Zea mays: one gene and its partner. The protein of the gene in region 1 interacts with the protein of each later gene in a pairwise test. Links are inferred from orthologs where the notes say so. Each region holds a gene or a part of one and is shown on either strand. Other genes may lie near its edges. The genes, in order: Probable UDP-N-acetylglucosamine--peptide N-acetylglucosaminyltransferase SEC-like and myb-related protein 306.

The links.
Region 2: the proteins of Probable UDP-N-acetylglucosamine--peptide N-acetylglucosaminyltransferase SEC-like (region 1) and myb-related protein 306 interact in binary tests that used the Arabidopsis thaliana proteins (3 or more experiments, as listed by UniProt). The link is inferred for Zea mays from reciprocal best matches to the Arabidopsis thaliana genes SEC and MYB30.

The regions. Positions count from the first base shown.
Region 1 is NC_050100.1:164,679,930-164,683,757, forward strand, and holds part of Probable UDP-N-acetylglucosamine--peptide N-acetylglucosaminyltransferase SEC-like, read right to left. Parts: intron 2,073-3,828; coding exon 2,010-2,072; intron 1,911-2,009; coding exon 1,832-1,910; intron 1,535-1,831; coding exon of another isoform or gene 1,517-1,534; coding exon 1,407-1,516; intron 1,330-1,406; coding exon 1,276-1,329; intron 1,205-1,275; coding exon 1,137-1,204; intron 1,031-1,136; coding exon 928-1,030; intron 772-927; coding exon 569-771; intron 463-568; coding exon 366-462; intron 1-365.
Region 2 is NC_050097.1:186,383,176-186,386,642, forward strand, and holds myb-related protein 306, read right to left. Parts: upstream 2,208-3,467; 5' UTR 2,039-2,207; coding exon 1,906-2,038; intron 1,805-1,905; coding exon 1,675-1,804; intron 1,548-1,674; coding exon 830-1,547; 3' UTR 768-829; downstream 1-767.

The DNA of each region.
Region 1 (3,828 bases):
TCAACGGTACAGGATTACAAAAGGCAGAAAAGATGAGAAAGCAGAGACAATAATCCGATAAGAGCCTTATTATGTTTAACCTAATGCAGGTAGCAACCTAGCAGGTTTTGTAGGTCAACATAATACTAAGCCATCAGAGATTTATATGATATGTGAACACTGTTAAATCATAATTGAGCTGTACTTTGCATCAATGTCCTTGAATGTTTGCACACATCTGCTGTAGTATTAATTTTCATAAGTAGCAGACACAACATAAAGATGAATATGTTGTAACATATCTTTTATTTACTCAAAGTTTACAGTCTTATTCAAATCTTTATATCACAAGTGCGTTAAAAGGGTAGAGAAAAATTGCAAGGTACCTGTAGAGTATGCAGGAGATTACAGGTTGCCTCAGGAAAATCAGGACGCAGCCGGAGAGCCTGCTTGTAGCTAATTATAGCCGTTTCTACATGCCCACTGCAAAAAGATTACATTTACCAATATTATAAACAGAAATAAAAAATTCTGCCAGAAATTAAATGCATTATATTAACACTGCATAGGCTTAAGATTCATAGAATACCTGTCCTTGTATGCTGAGGCCAAGTTGGCATGGGCTTCTGGCATGTTTGGCCTGATTGTTGCTGCCTGAACATAATCCTGAATTGCTTCATTAACTCTGCCAATCTCTTTGAATGTGTTCCCTCTATTAACTAGTGCATCAGCTGCTGTAGGATCTATACGGAGTACTTCAGTGTAACATGTGATAGCATCAGCATAGTTTCCCTGGTGCATACAACAAAATAGAGAAATCAGAGAGAGAGAAAGAACAGGTATTAGGTGTTGGATATTGTTCAAGCAATCATTTAATTTGAACATTAGAACAGGAACTTTGTCCTACAACTACAACATGATCAGACAAAATGAAGGGAAGAAAACCACCTGTTGCTTGTATATCACAGCCAAGTTGTTAAGTGGGGAAGATAATCCAGATGTCACAGATATAGCTGCTTTGTAAAATGAAGTAGCAGCGCTTATCATGTTCCTGCAGTGTATTTTTTTTGTCATCATGAGCTCACTTGCATCTTTGTTAAGTCAGATAAATTTTTATTTCCTTTAATATTAAGAATATGTGCACATAAGAATCTCACCACTCCATGTATATGTTTCCTAAATTAGTAAGGGCTTGCGGGTGGTTTGCTTGCAGTGCAAGGCAGGACTGCACAAATACAGCTAGATCACAACCTGAGCTACATGTAAACAAGTCAAACCAATAGCAGGAAAACATACTCTGTAGCAGTTGATTGCTTCTTCTACTCTTCCAGCATCTTTAAGTGCGTTGCCCTACAAAGATAAAAATTGTAAACTAGTTGTTCAATTTATACATAAAAATAGTTGAAAAATGTGGATCAGTGACTAACCATGTTGTTGTATGCTTCAATAAACTGTGGGTCGTAGACTATAGCTTGATTGTAACAACGAATTGCCATATCAAGCTGGCCTTGCTCATAGTAAATAGTAGCAAGATTACCTGCATGAAAATGTTCCCCTACCTTTGTATTACGAGGTATACTAAGGCTCTACTTTGAAGGTAAAGAAAGGACCATTCTCTTGTAAGCTTGTTCGCATCTCACCCGAGATGAGTATCTAAATGAATGAACTCGAAGGATAACCTTTAATCAGTATTACTTTTATTTTTTGGGCTAAAAGTTAAGTTCTAAAGAAAATAATATATATATATATATATATATATATATATATATATATATATATATATATATATATATATATATACTCTGGTACAGAAAGGCCAGGGTTTGGCAAAGAAAAAAGAATCAAATCTCACCATAAGCCATAGCATAGTCAGGACGTGCCTGCAGTGCACGTTGATAACACATAATGGCATCTTGAGGCATTCCCAAAGCCTGGAGAACCAAAAATATATAAGATCCAGTTTCCCTACAAAAGCGAAGTTATCCCTGCATTCTCTTGCAGGATACTTGTGTCACAACCGATAGACTTACCTTATAAACATTCCCTTGATTAAGATATGCATCAGCGAAAGATGGCTTAAGCTTAACAGCTTCCTGCAAGTTTCAAGAGAAGGTGGAAACATTCGCCATCAGCATTACAAGCAGGATGCTCAAAAGAAGGAATGCTTTATTATTCTCTTTGAGCATAATAAGCAGCAAAAGGGCCTCTAGTTGAGTTGGTTAGGTGGTCTGAGTAGCACTCCTCAGGTCCTGAGTTCGACTCCTCGTGGGAGCGAATTTCAGGCTAGGGTTAAAAAAAATCCCCATGTCTGTTGCATTACCAAAGCACAGGTCTATGGCCCGGCTTTGGTCACGGTCGTTCTCACATGACCTACGGTGTTGCTGTGTATAGGTGGGACAACAAGGGTTTAGGGTTTTCTCGACCTGCGTGAGGTCTTCTTAATACAATGCCCAGGGGTTGCCTTACCCCCCCCCCCAGTCGAGTTTTTGAGAGCATAATAAGCAGGCGCTATAGGAAAATATGCATGTTTGATCAAATGAAGAGAATGATACAACACCGGGTGAAAATCTGGGTGCATAGGTAATAAGTGGATCAAAATAAGCCTCAGTGGAGTTTTATTTTTCAAGTTTAAATTCCCTTCATTAGTCATTACAATGAGAAAGCACAATTTTGGTAGATTTGCAAGACACACAAGAGCTATGCAGCAAAAAAATAATCATTGAAGGAATATCCAAATCTCAAAACCAAAACATGACACTAGAAAGTGACAGGACAATTTAGCCCAAAATAAACCATCATGCAATGACAAATACATGAAGTAACTTTCATCTTCCCTAGATTCGTAAATAAAATGATCAACGACCTTCATATACACAAAAAATCCAGTTCAGAACAAACTAAGGGTACCTCAAAAAACTATGAAACATAGCATAAGTGACATCAAGTACTCAATCCAAAATATGAAGTGTGATTTGGCTCGGGGTGGTCTTCAAGATCACATTTATACCACTCATTTCTTTTATAATACATCATTTGTAGAAATAAATAACAGAGATCCAGATCTCAAAACCAAAATATGGCGCTAGGAAGTGACAGAAAGACAATTCAGCCCTACATAAATCGTGACACGACAAATGCATGAAACGACTTCCATTTTCCTAGATTCCATGGAAATAAAATGATTTACGACCTTCACACGCACCACAAAAAATCCAATTCAGGACATAGGGACCTCGATAAACAACGACATAAGTGACTTAAGGTACTCCATCCCAAAATATATAGGCCCTGTTTGTTTCGGCTTCTGGCAGCTTCTGGCCACCAAAAGCTGCTGTGAACTGCCAAACGCTCAGCTTTTCAGCCAGCTTCTATAAAATTCGTTGGGGCAAAAACCATCCAAAATCAACATAAACACATAATCAATTGAGTCGTTGTAATAGTAGGAATCCGTCACTTTCTAGATCCTGAGCCATATGAACAACTTTATCTTCCTCCTCACGTAATCGTAATGATACCCAGATTCTTCCCACAGCCAGATTCTCCCCACAGCCAGATTTTTAGAAAAGCTGGTCAGAAAAAAGCTGAACCAAACAGGCCCATAGCGCGGTTTGACTTGGTGTGGTCTTATCACACTTCAAGCATTCATATTTCCTTACAGTATATGATTTGCAGAAATAAAAGTTTGATCATTAGAAAGTAGGGAATTTCTAAATACAAACCAAATCTAACCATTTTGCAACTCAAACTTTCTTATATAATTAGACTACTTGCTGGTCAAAGATAATGAAGTTTAAATCTTGAAATGTGTGCATGCCTTATATTTTTTTATAGAGGGAGCAGTGCAATAGT
Region 2 (3,467 bases), on another chromosome or scaffold:
GCAAATTTTCAAGTACACATAAACATCGCAATTTAAATGGACGAAACAAACGCACTAAATTTATTTCCTCTCGGTGCCCCCACATGTTAAAAAAACTATACAATTCACATAAAAATGATTCATGAATTGGATGCATCACATGCATCTTGAAATCTCTTGCAATATCTTGATCGAAAGGCCTGCTGCTTTTATTTATATCAAGCACATGGCAGAGTAATAACTCAAGTAACTTTTGGAAAAGAACCATTCAATTATTTACATTTGGATTTGCAATATGCAAGGATTTCATGAAAATTACACAAGATAATTCTACAAAAGCAAGCATCACTTAGACATGGTTGATCTGAACTACTAGGGAGTACTATAATGTTTTATTCCCCATTCGTGTAGTAGAGTAAGAATAACACGAAAAATATATAGAGCTTGATGAAGGAAAAATATTGGAGTAATATAATTGAGGATTGAGCATCTATTATAACTTCTAAATATATAGATCTTTTAATAATTTATATAAGATGTACACTTCTTTCTATCGGTCACTCTCATGCATGGTCCTTTAGGAACCTGTCATTAGTATAAGCTTACACGATCAGTTCCAATCCCTAACATCAGAGAAACAACAGCGTAAAAAAGATAAAAGAGGGAATTAAAACAAACTAGATCGACACTCAACTCGATCCATATCACCGAGAATTCAAAGAAATTTGGTTCGTTGGATTTCTGCTTCACTAGTTATTACCTAATAACTCGGCGATTATTTTTTTCCCTTTTGTTCTTGCATCTCTACTTGATTAATTTGCTTTTAGTGGTACTTGTACAGCGGCCTTGATTAAAAGAACTCACTGGGGTCCCCTAGTGGCACCACGTCGGTCATGAGCCCGTCCTCGCCGTGCCCCATGCCGTCGTCGAGGAGCCAGCTCTCCAGCATCGAGAACGCCGGCGGCGCGGCGCCCGCGCCGGCCACCTTGCTGGTCTCCGTCGAGCACTCGGGCGTCTGCGCCGCCGCGTTCGCGGGCGCTCCGCCGCTGTGGCTCGCCGACGCGGACGCCGCGCCCTCACCGGAGCACTGCGGCCGCTGCTGCGTCGTGGCCGTCGTCGACGTCGAGCCCGACGCCTCGGGCCCCTTGCCCCCTCCGCTGCCGGGGCGCAGCCACCCCTCCAGCAGCCGCGCGATGTTCTCGGCGCTAGACGCGTACGTCGTGTACCCCGGGGCGGTCGCCGGCAGAGGCTCCACCTTAGCCGGCGGCGGCGCCGAAGCCGAAGGCGAAGGTTCCAGCGAGAGCGCGTCGCGCAGAGCCTGCCGCGCCGTGTGGATGTCGGTCTGCAGCCGCCGCTCCCACTGCCCCTTGGGCACCGCCGGGCGCTTCCCTCCCGCGCCTGCGGTGGCGACGGCGCCGCCTTCCGAGGCACCTGCTGCGCCGTCGCCGTCTCCCCCGCCCCCTTCGCCGGCCTGCATCTTCTTCAGCTTCTTCTTGAGGTGCGTGTTCCAGTAGTTCTTGATGTCGTTGTCCGTCCTCTCCGGCAAGTAGGACGCTATCGCCGCCCACCTGCACGGCGGATCAACAACAAGCTCAAGCGCTCAGCACACCATCACCTCGTGTCGTGTATGATTTGTCCATTGTTGTAGGGGGTGGAAAAGAAAGGGAACAGGCTAGCTAGGCGAGGGATCATCACCGGTTGCCAAGGAGAGCCTGGAGGTGGATGATGAGCTTCTCCTCCTGGTCGGTAAAGTTGCCGCGCTTGATTCCCGGCCGGAGGTAGTTTGTCCACCGCAACCTGCAGCTCTTGCTGCACCGCATCAGCCCTGCACGCGCCGGCCCAAAATAAAATCAAGTAAGCTTGGATCACATGGATCTTGGAAGGCAATTCAGTCCACCGCCTCTCATCATATGATTCATCACGTACCGGTGTTGGTCGGCACGGCGCGCCAGTTCCCGGGGCCGTGCTCCTGGACATAGGAGACGAGCATGAGGTCCTCCTCGGGGGTCCACGGCCCTTTCTTCACTCCCACCTTGTCGCAGCACGGCGGCCTCCCCATGCCACCGCCTCGTCGTTTTCGGCTCCGGCGCGGCCGGCGGGCTGCTACTCTTGAGCGCGGTGGTTGTTGGTGAGCTCGATCGCTTGCTCAGAGATTAAAAGCACCGATCGACCGATTCGGTGCAGACGAGTGGGGAGGTAAAAGGGGGGTGGGGGCAGGATGCATATATATACACGCACAGCGCGATGGAGCTTTATAGCAACAAGTGAAGAGAAGGCAATTGAACACAGTTTGACCCTGGTAAGATTGCTGAGCTAATAATCAACGGCGACGTGACATGTGTTACATCCACATGCCCTCATGGGCACAGCGGGGGCCCGGGACAGAGGCCAACCTCGCAATGGCCTGTCTCAGGTCTGAACCCGATCGACGGGTTTGGTAGCAAAACCTGGAATTGTTTTTATTTGCTTTTCATGGATATGTTTTTTTATGGTCCATTACAATTAAATGAGTTATGTGCATATTTTTCTCTTGACATGAGTGGCAGGATGCACGGCGTAATGAACTTGAAATAAATCGGTGTGTGTACACAGCTTGGTAGGATGCTAGTGAATACAAATCGTTTTTTTTCTTGCAATAATAGTTGTGTACACATCTTGCTATAGTACAGTAAAGATGTGAACATGTGGTACCACTACCGGAATCGACGGCTTTGCCGAGTGCCTGAAACACTCGGTAAAGCCTGAAAAACACTCGGCAATAAAAACATTCGGCAAAGGATTTGCCGAGTGTCGTACTCGGCAAAGATGGCTCGGTACACATTACATCGGCAAAGCCTTCTTTGCCGAGTACTTTTTCTCGGGCACTCGGCAAAGACTTTGTCGAGTGCCAGGAAGTACTCGGCAAAGAAAAGCCACCGTTACGGCGCCGGGGTGACGGAGACGATGTCTTTGCCCAGTGTCCTAGGTGACACTCGGCAAAGGAGTTACCTTTGCCGAGTGTCTGCCGGCCAGCACTCGGCAAAGAATCCGTCAGTGGGTCCCCATGTCAGGTTCTTTGCCGAGTGCTTTATATGGCACTCGGCAAAGTGTGTTTCTTTGCCGAGTGTCAGGGCCACTACTCGGCAAAGAACCTATACCGGTGCCCAGGTCTTGGTTCTTTGCCGAGTGCTATGGTCCTAACACTCGTCAAAGTGACCGGTACACACCTTTTTATTTGTTTTTCCTATTTTATCCAAACAAACAAAAGACATTTCACAGATATCACATATATACATCACAGATCATCACAGACATAAATATCCAACACAAACATTAATATACAAACATAAGTTCAGAAGTTCTCAACACAAACAATATCAACACAAGTTCAGAAGTATGAACACATAAGTCTAAAGGTCTGACATAAGTATTCAACATAAGTTTTGTAGTCTAAACACTAAAAACATAACTCTCATTGAGGTGGGCGGTTGGACTGGTGCTGTGTTAGG